Linked DNA regions of Saccharomyces cerevisiae S288C. The gene in region 2 interacts genetically with the main gene of each other region. Each region holds a gene or a part of one and is shown on either strand. Other genes may lie near its edges. The genes, in order: IRC4, PEX28 and NBA1.

Region 1 (2,874 bases), on a different chromosome or scaffold from region 2:
CTTGGTATTTAAAAAGTACCCATTTCGTGCATCTAAATATACTAATATTCAGTGAATGGTGATAAAGGTACTCCACACTTACTTGGATCACTCTTGTGATCAATTTAAGATACCTATATGTGTAACCGTATTATGTAATTATGAAGTATAAGTCGTTGAAAGACTTATACTTTTTAGGCGTAATATCAGATGGAATCAAAGAAATTATAGAAAACAGTAGATCAGAGATCCTGCCTTTGGAATTCTGTAATTCAACATATGGAAAAATTGATGCGAAATCACAAGAGTACAGGGATAATTTGGTAATGTATCTCACTAGTTACCATTGTTTTGCTACGCGTACTATCTCGTTTCAATCACCTCTTCTATAATATTACTAAAAAATGTTCATATGTTATATGGCGTACCGATAAAGTTATTGCATTTCTCATGCGATTTTAACTTCCTTTTCAAGTCAAGGATACTTTGTGCAAGCGTAAATCCTTGCTCAATCTCCTCTGCTCAAAATGAAAAAAAAAAAAACGCAGAATCATATGCAGGATGCAATATTGCTTAAATGATTCTATATTTTGCACTTATGTGTGAAGAGTGTAATTTTTGATCTTCCATTTTAATGTTATGCACATAGAGCTGAAATTAAATGCGTCATATATAATTATTATGAGTGAGTGGATTTTGAGATAATTATTGGGAATTCATTATTGCTTGAGATAATATTATTACTTATACAGAATACACTAGAAGTGCTCCTCGGGGACATAGAGATCCATAAAAGGGAATCGATAATTCTACACATTAATCTGTTTTATTTCTTTATCTGTTTTACACGTTTTCATTCATTATCTTATTACAAAATCAGCCCTTGCGCTTCATGTTCCATTATACTCGCAGACTGTTTCTCATCATTTATCTCATCTTTAACTCCATTCAGTATATTATCTTAATAACGCGACTACTAGTAGTGAATAATGGTCAATTTTTACTTCAGAAACTTCCCTTGATTTCATTCATAGATGTTATTTCATTGTCAATTTTTACTCTTACTCACCGATTTGAATGACAGTAAAGAACTTTGCTCAATTAATATTATATTTGTTGTTATCGTCTAACGCTGTAAGTATATGGTACTATCATAAGAACCTCAGTAGTGGAATATGGTTGTTTCTTGTGCTGACATGATTCCGGATGGCCTGTAGGAAAGTATCCAAGATTTTTATTATCAGATACCGGTATGCATTCCATAATGCCAGAGTTTGCGTTCTTACGTCAAAGAACAATGATGCTACGGAGCGCAAGAAAGTGACGTGGCCAACTATCAGCGCGCTAGGATATGTATGCACTGCCGAAAGGCTGAAGCGTATCGTACATTAATTCATAAAGAGAAAGAAATCTCAACCCTGAATTTAGGATAGCGAAGTGCAATAAGAAAAACTTTACCATTGTTTTCAGGATGAATTCTATATCAGCCTGTTTATATAAACAATTTGACAATAGTGCGTAAAGCTAAAAAAGGAAGCATGCCCTTTGTTCCTTATCGGGTGGAGAGGGCCGCACTTAATCTCGAGCGGATATCAGGTACCAAAAGCCTAATTGAAGCAGGCAAATTTTTTTTCCCTATTTTCTTTTATTTGAGTGTGTACATACTAATATAAATTTGATCAAATAATGAATGCGATTAAAAATCAATATTGGCAAATGGAAAAAAATCTAATAGCGGCTAATAGTGAGACTTACATCGCTATAGATTGGTAATTAAACGAATTAAATAATAACAATTGAAAAAAAAAAAACTATCATGAGAGAATATACCAGTAAAAAAGAACTAAAGGAAGAGATTGAAAAAAAATATGAAAAATATGATGCAGAATTTGAAACAATCTCTGAATCTCAAAAAGACGAAAAAGTTGAAACAGTGGATAGAACACCCTCTGAAAACCTCTCTTATCAATTGGGCTGGGTTAATTTATTATTAGAGTGGGAAGCAAAGGAAATTGCTGGGTATAATGTGGAAACTCCTGCGCCTGGTTATAAATGGAACAATTTAGGAGGATTATACCAGTCATTTTATAAAAAATACGGAATCTACTCCATTAAGGAGCAAAGAGCCAAGCTGAGAGAGGCCGTAAACGAGGTCTATAAATGGATATCTACTTTATCTGATGATGAGCTCTTTCAAGCGGGAAATAGAAAATGGGCTACAACTAAAGCTATGTGGCCTGTGTATAAATGGATCCATATCAACACGGTTGCTCCTTTCACAAACTTTAGAGGAAAAATTAGAAAATGGAAGAGACTAGTGCCTGAAGAACAACGCATAAAAAGGAGGAAGATATAATGAGAAAGTTGTATATGGCCGTCTATTTTTTTTCTTGCAGGATTTAGAAACTACCACAGGAAAACCTTTTTTAATATCATATTTTTTGATATTATTATATTTGAGAAATGAATCTCGATTATTATGAGTCAATTTAACAAAACCTCATATAATGTACAGCAGTATAAAGACAAAACTCTCTTACGCTTACCATAGCCTCAATAACATGTCACAATACGAACTTTTTATGTTCTTCCCATATATTTTATTGTACTCTACACACACAGTATTGATCATATAGTTAATTTACCTTACTATACGCTAACCTTTAAAGCAACAAAGATATAGACGATACCATACATGAATGTCGATCAGAGACGTATGGTATAGCTTGTGTCACATTCTGCTATCGTATATGGTATACATGGCACATACTTTAAATTTTAAAGTAATGTCACTTGATTAAGATCTTTCCTATACGTCAAGGTCTCGAGATAAAACTTTATGTCTCAAATAATACATGCTAGGCATATAATGACCCATTTTCTGGAGTTGATGTA
Region 2 (4,036 bases):
ACACAAATATGGATAGATTTGAACTCTATATCAGTAAGCAATTGTTGGGTAAGTGGTGGTCCTTATGCTAGTTGCCCATATGAAAAAGTCATTTCTAGGAGAAATTTCGTAACAATGATGGTCCCTGCGTCAGTCTGTTCCTTTGCCCTACTGTGTATTGTCGTTTACTTGAGTGTATTGAGGGTCCCCATTTATGATAATAGAAAAAATTGGAGAAGAGTTATCAATAAAATCTCTAAATCCGAGCTAGAAGGTGTCCCTTCTTAAAAATCACTTTTTTTCTGACACTTTAGAATTTTCTCAAGTTTTACGACATTAAAACTCAAGTAGTGCTTTTTTTCGTTTCATTTATTATTAATTCATATATAGCATTTCTTAAAACAAAACTGTATTATTTATACTTCAAAAGCGCATTTTTGTATTTTACCTAGTAATATTGATACATAACATTTTTTTTTCTAATATCTTTAGGAAAAAAGTACGTAATACAATGATTTCCCCAAGAAGAGGGGTGGGGTTGTAGGTGAAGGAAAACAATTGTGCATTATGCTACTGGTGTTGCATTCTTAATAACACGATGTATCAGTCTCCTCCTCTTGAACATTGGATCAAATAAGAATTCGCCGGTAATTGGCAGATTCAACCCACGTTCTACCACCCACCTATCCACATCATTGTCAATTTTCCACTCAAAATTAGGATCAAATGACCAGCCTGTGGGGGGAATAACATCAGCCAAAGAATCTACTCCCGGTGGGAATTGCTGTGCTCTTCTATACGGATCTTGAGGATCGAAAATTCTATTTGAATATCGGAAAAACTTCCAGTCGTTCGGCAGTAAGGCCTTTTTATATATTTCAAAAATCTCGATGAATTTAGTTTCCGGTTGTTCATCGAATATCATGTTAAGCGCCTGGTGTTCTCTTTTTTTCAAGTTTTTGTATTCTTTTCCCATTGTTCCTGTTTTGAAAAAACTTATTATTTTTGGATGAGCTCTTGGATGCATATATATCAGTAAGCACCAGGCGAATATGCTACATACATAGCTCCAATTCACAAATGGTGATAATATTTTTAAGAAAACAATCAAAAGAAATCCTGTAAAAAAACGTTTAGTGGAGCACTCTTCGTTTTGAAAACTAGAAGACTTACGAAGAAAACTATTGATTGCCTCAATAACATGAAGGGTACCAGAGGTCATGTTTTGCATATCGCGTAAATTAATTAGTACTTTCATTCCTTGTTTCAATTCCCCTGTGTTTTCGGTTCTTTTATCTAATTCTGATATTTCGTCTATTTCTTGATTTCTTGATTCCAAAGTGTCCATAAAAGATTTGGAGAAAAACTGTTGACCGTAGCTGTACTCATTTTTTCCCTCATAGCACACATCATATAACAATGATGATCCGTGATTCCGTTTCAGAGGATATATACTCCTTTGTAAAGGATGTTTACGCACATAGCCAGGAACTACAATACCATAGACAAAGCGGAATATAGGCAAAATTACCAAGTACATTGGATTAAAACATATCAAAGTGAATAATATTAACGACGTCACCGTCCCGGTAGGGTTTCTCCAAGTCAGCAGTCGAACTATGGAGTCCTGGAGTTCAAATATTGAGCCCATTTTCTTAGACAATTTTTTGAAATTACTACCCAATGTAGTTGCTGAAAACACGGGAACCCTTCCTGTGTCTAGATCATGCTCAATGGTGGTTTTGCTACTAAAATGCTCTCTTTCTGGTAGCTTTTCAGGGACCAACCTCGATATTAGTTTATCCAAAAATACATCGATAAAAGGATCTTTTTCACTATTGGAAGTCATAGGTTCTAGAGCTGGCCCTGATTCGGTTTCATCGTCATAATATTCGGGCGCGCCCTCAAAGTGCGCTGAACACTTGAAAACACCATCGCACTCCCTGCACTCTTGCTCTCCATACGAATCATTTACTGAATATTCCGGAGTACTTGATACTTCTGATGAGTGGGCAGTCTTCAGGCGCTCAATGGACGTACTGAATAATGAACCAGCAATTTGTTGGAGTAGTTCCTTTTTGCTAATGCCTTGGCTTGTTGCGGAGGAGGCGGTTAGCGAAGGATGGCTCATCTCAGAATTTCCGCTGGAGGAGCTTCCTGATAGATCTTCTGCTACAGTTGGCGATTTTGATATTGCTGCTTCTGCCTCCAGTATAGAATCCAACACTTTATTGTATTTGCCTGCGAAGTAAGATTTGACAGCGTCTTTACTCGCGCTCCTGCGACTTGAGCTGGTCTCACTCATTTGCTGAAGATATATTATCTCTTTGTCACCCTAAATACCTGCGTTTTTATCTTATTCATTATGGTTCTATCTACTGATGACTCCAATTCGTAGGCATTCGTCATATTTATGTCTATCATGTCACAATAAAAGGGAAGTTCATCGCGGCGGAAATAATAAAAGCCATTCCACTAACCCTAAATAGCCCTTACTTATTTCCTTTTTCTTGAAATTTTCTCAGCCCATTTTATTTCATAGACCTCGTTCAATTATTTAGTAGCCCTGACACGTTTTGAAATTCTTTAAATTTTTTTTTTTTTTTTTTTCGCGAAGCGATAAACTTTTTTGCAGCTCGAAGAGGAAAACTGCTCACCCAAATAGGAAAGTTCATCGAAAAGACAAGGTTTCTTCCGTATTTTTTCTCTTTTTATCTCAATAAGAACTTTTAATAATCAATAACAAACTCATGGTGAAGCTTTTGTGGGGAGCAGGCCTTGTCTTTATCCATATCGAATTTTTCACTGGTTCTTCTTTTCATTCTTTCATTACCTTTCATAGTTTTTCGTTGAACTCATATAGCGTCACATAGTTCTAACAAAGATATAGTTCGCGATGTACCACACCCATATGCATGAAAGTTTAATATCTGTGACTTCAACGGTAAGTGTTTCTGATGCGTCTTATGCTTATGCAAGGCTCACTAGAAGAGACGATAGCGATTCATCTTCTTCCTCAGCATCCAGCACGAAAAATAGCAAATCTGCTGAATGTACAGGCTCTAAACAGCAATGTCAATTACCCACAGATTCGAGTCACAGCACCAGTGTAACTGTTGGTGTGGCTGTTGCGGTACCAGTAGGTGTCATTATCATTGTTCTGGCTGTGATACTTTGCATTGTGTATAGGAGAAGCAAAAAGGAAGCTGAGGAAGATAATGATCCAGATTTCGAAGGAGATTCTGAATTTTTACCGACAATGAAGGATTATTCACCTGGAATAAATCATTTGTACTCTAGCGACTCGCAGCAAGACTTCATGGAAAAGACCTTGCAACAGCCGCCTTCAGATCCCTTTGTTGGTAGCATGCATAGTAGTAAATATAATGTGAGAAGCGCTACCCCACCTGCAATTGGTCGGTCATGGTACGTAGACCCGTTTCAGCTTCCACAGGAATCGAACGACTCTAACAGTTTGAGAGATTTTGCCATGAGAGTACAAGAAGATGGACTAGGTGGCTATAAAGTTGCGGCCGAGTCTAGAAATGCCAGTCAAACGTCCTTGCATCCTGATAACTTTTCGAATTGTACACCAATAAGAGCGTCTTCAAGATTTCAAGAGAGTGAAAGCTTTCGATCTCACGGTAGCCCAATCCATAATAACCAGCTTTCCCGTGGTTCTGCCACAGAAGGTGCCAACAAGCAGTTTACATTTCCTAATGAAGACAATGATTCGTCCTCAGTTAGTGAAGAGGCTGAGGTTTTGAATGAGTCAAATGAGTCTGCAAGCAATGACGCGTTCGAATTCGAACTTGATAATAGTTCAGAAAAGACACATGAAAGGAATCTGCGTTTTGGTAAGGATGATGATAATTATGAACTTCAAGATATCAGAGAAGCTGAACATATGAATGATCGTAGTAGCAGTAAAAGTCAAGATGATGATTACTATGTATCACTCTTATCCCCTAATGAAGAAGAAGATATTAAGAGAATGAAAAGTATTTATCAAGTTTATTTGGATAGAGCTAAAACAATGAAAAAGGAAGAGGATAAA
Region 3 (4,021 bases), on a different chromosome or scaffold from region 2:
TTTTGATCAATAGGGATATGGTTACACATGCAGAGTTTGACTTAAACCTGTTGGGATTCTGTGATGACGTGGCCAGTCTCGTAGCTAAAAAATGCCATTGGGATATACCGCATAAAAAATGGCAAGATCTAAAGAAGATAGATTACAACTGTACGGAAATAGATAAAGGTACGTATAAGATTAAGAAACAGCCACGAAAGAAACAACAGTAAATTCCAAAAAAAAAAAAAAAAAAAAAAAGAAGAAAACACAGAAGGGGGAGTAAAAATAAGTATACCGCTGCTATTGCATATATTCGAGCATTTCATTCATGTATTTATTAATATGACCAGATAATAAAGAATATTCAATCTCAATTTCTTTAACTTCAACTTCGAAATCTTTTTGTAATTGTTTAATTTCATCATTTAATTTATTGATTTTACCACTGATCAGTTCCTCTTGAATGAAAATGTCCGTTTTGTCAATCTTAGGTTTGATTTCATTTTCATATTTGATTTGTAGATCCATCAATTTAGTATCATTTAGGCGCGACTCTTCTTTAGTATCTTGCGATAGCTTTTCCAAATTCTTGAGTTGCAAATCTAACTGTTCTTGTAAGATTTCTAATTTATACATAATACCTGTTTCCAATACATTCATCAATTTCAGCTTATTGTTGATTAAATTTTGCTTTAATCCCACAAGTTCCGTTTCAGTTCGATTAGACTCTTGCACCTCGCTGGAAATTATTCTCAGCACATCATAGAGCTCACTAATTATGGTTTCGAACGTCGTCACTGTATCTTGCAAGTTTTTCTGTTGTGCGGTTAAGTCGTCTAACGTCTTTTTCCTTTGTATCAACAGATCATTTAGCTCTTTGATTCCCTCGGATAACTCTTCCATGTCTGTATTGGATATTTTGATCAGTTTATCTCGATTGGACTCTAATTCCACTATTTGGAAACTCAGAGCTTCCAGATCTTTAAAGATTGACTGCTTGGAGATCTTATAGTCATTATAATCTATGGATAACGTTTCTTGGATCTTGGTCAATTTCTTCAACTGAATTTCCAGCTCCTTATTTTGCTCTTCCAGCTTTTGGAGCTCTTGCTCATCAGGTATATTATCCCCATCTACGTCCTCGTATTGCTTTAGCTGTTGCTGAATCAAGTTATAATCATCGAATTTGGAGCGAAGCTGACCCAGCAACGATTCCATTTGAAGAATAAAAGAATTACAGTCGAACATTCGTTCCTCCCTAAAACGAGCGTAATTCACCACAGCACTCAGTAAGCGCTGTGTCCGTTGGGCTTCGGGCTTGTACAAATCTGTCATATTGAAATCTTGAACACCTATGTTCTCAAAGAACTTAAAGCAGATTTTGTTCAATACCAAAACATTTAACGTGTCCAAATAAATGTTCTCGTTCTCTTCCTGTAAGTGACCATCCCCTGTTTCTTGGTTACTACTATTCAGCAACGACTCTACAGAAATACCCATGAAGTTCTCGATGATTTGTTTGTAAAGGGTTACCATGTAGTCTGAGGTGGGCCTAGAGATATTTTCCTGTGTGGCTAGCGCAAAATCACAGCTTTGCAAACATATAACTAGTTCCTGTAGATCCAAAATGGGGAACACATCTTGATTCCTACTCATTTTGCTCAAGGGATGCTGGAGCCTTTCTCCTCAGTACATGCTTTTTACCAGTATTTTTTCATAATATTGTTTATTTTAATTGTTATTGTTTGTTACATGTCCCGATTCGGAAAAGCGATCTTTTGATCAAATGGCTGGCACCATCAAGAAGAGAAAGAACGCTGATATATTCGACTAACAAGAAGACCATTATCAAAACCAGATAGGTGTATAAGTATGTCAGAAGAGAGGGAAGAAAACGGGATATCTAGGGCTACGCTGAATACGCAGCGACTTTCAGCAATGATCGATTCACTGAACAATGAGAAAGATGACAGGCTCTTTCCATCTCCCACAACTACCAGGACAATGATCACAGAGGAAAAGGCGGATCAAAGTGATGTCTTTAAACCACCATCGAGATTGTTGAGATCACCTGCTGGTGACGTTTCGCTGCCACCTGGTGATAACAGATCAAGTATGATTTCCAACTACTCTGGAATTATTCAAGAAGGCGTTGAAGTATCATATGTGGTCAAAAACCGGCAACAGACCCAAGAACGGCGCACAAGTAAGGATTCCAATAGTTTGTACTCCTTGAAAGAGCCCGTGAGCAAGAACGAGTTACCGTCGTTGCCCATGTTGCCTTCAGAAGCGACATTGACAAAACATCTAAGTGATAACCAAAGCACAAAATCGAATACCAATGCAGACGAAATTGTCATTAAACCAGTTACTAATGCCAAACCTGTGGGAAGGTTTAACTCTAACACTTCAAAAAAAGTAGAGGGTCGTGGCTCACTGAAACTGTTATCTAGTCCTCTACGTCAGGAAAAAGTTATGCGTTCCTCTATAGGATCAGGTAATTTGGCCAGCGAGAGCGGATCTTCCACTTATAATACCAAATTCCATCAATCTATTCAAGAGCAGCTCGAAGAAGAAGAGGAAGGAAATGTTAGCGATAAGCTTTCAATTGTTTCCAGTGTCATACCCGAGTTGTATACAACCACCAACGAAGCACCCAAAGCGATAAACCCAATACGTTCTGAAACCAATGACTACAATCCAACTATTCCGCCCAGAAGTAAGGACCGTCCTAGGTCAAGGTTGTTCATCGAAGAAGGTGATGGCGAGGGGGATCTTTTAACCGAAGAAATATTACCAACGCCGGTCCAACCTGGTGGCCACTATAAGAACTCATCTCAGATTTCCACAGTTAGTGAACAAAAATCGGAATCTTACTATTCTGCGGCAACGAGTATGCCTCCAGAGGAAGAGACTTACTTGACAAGACCATTGCCCAGCACACCCAATGAGGATAGCAGAGTTACATCGAATTTGAAACGTGACGACACATTGAAGGCTATTCATGATAGGGCAAATCATACCTCTACTTCGACAAACAAACAAGATGATGACATGTACGAGGACATCATTGAGGAAACGCCCAAGAAAACTAAACTCAAGAAGGATACGAAAAAAAAGCTCAATAAAAAAAAATCTGTGAAGGAATTGCGATCCTTTGATATCGACACACTAAATCAACTGTTGAGTGTGACAAAGGGAACCTTAATCGGGTCTGAATTTGCGCAACTGGGGATGAAAATTGAGGAGAAACGTGCCCTGGAGAGACTAGTAGACTCTTTGTCCAGGTTAACAGCAGACATGGTTCTTGATCCGGACCGCTATGAAGAAGGACTGAAAAGATTAGACAAAGCTACAAAGGCTCTTGAAGGGTTTTGATGGTGCAACAACAATAATAATAGTAATAGTAACAGTGGTAGTAACAATAACAATAACAATATCAATATCAATATCAATAATATATTATAATACTAATAATGAATAATAATAATAGCAATAAGTATAGTATAGTATAGTGGTAATATATAAGTTTCTTTCTCTTCCGGTTTATTTACAAGTCATATACAAATAAAAAAAAGTGATAGTAATTCAATGGCTTGTATTCATTGATACTTGGACAAGTCCGGCATACTTAAAATTTCCTTCTCTTTATTTTCACTGAATTCTTGTAGCTGCTTCAGCAATTTAGAATTGGCCCACTTGTCAGGCAAGGGGCTGGTTTTGAAATTTTTTGTGGCCCAATAGTATATGTCCCAGTCCAACTCATTCAATAGCGAATCGTATTCTTCCAGTTCCTCTTCGTTCATCTTCTTCAAATATTTGGCAGCGAACCCAGATAGCAGCAAGTCCGTCTCCAAGATCCCTCTTTTGCGTGATTGATATATCAACCGAGCTCTTTTCTTATCCAATGGCTCGTTAGTTCTCTTTATGGGGGCAATTTTAATCCTCGTCACCACATCGTCGTGGTCATCTTTATCACTACTAAACCACCTACGACCGCACGACCATGCAGCGGACCCTGTTTGAGAGTTGATAATCT

The links.
Region 1: mutations in PEX28 (region 2) and IRC4 together harm fitness more than expected from each alone (negative genetic interaction), as found in Saccharomyces cerevisiae (one large-scale study listed by BioGRID).
Region 3: mutations in PEX28 (region 2) and NBA1 together harm fitness more than expected from each alone (negative genetic interaction), as found in Saccharomyces cerevisiae (one large-scale study listed by BioGRID).

The regions. Positions count from the first base shown.
Region 1 is NC_001136.10:1,516,597-1,519,470, reverse strand, and holds IRC4 (Irc4p), read left to right. Parts: upstream 1-1,795; coding exon 1,796-2,335; downstream 2,336-2,874.
Region 2 is NC_001140.6:395,499-399,534, reverse strand, and holds PEX28 (Pex28p), read right to left. Parts: upstream 2,285-4,036; coding exon 545-2,284; downstream 1-544. Other genes in the region: MTC6 (Mtc6p), read left to right, coding at 1-267; SKG6 (Skg6p), read left to right, coding at 2,876-4,036. UniProt on the Saccharomyces cerevisiae protein: Involved in the regulation of peroxisome number, size and distribution.
Region 3 is NC_001147.6:196,559-200,579, reverse strand, and holds NBA1 (Nba1p), read left to right. Parts: upstream 1-1,854; coding exon 1,855-3,360; downstream 3,361-4,021. Other genes in the region: histone deacetylase HST1, read left to right, coding at 1-212; kinetochore-associated Ndc80 complex subunit NUF2, read right to left, coding at 283-1,638; succinate dehydrogenase assembly factor SDH5, read right to left, coding at 3,585-4,021.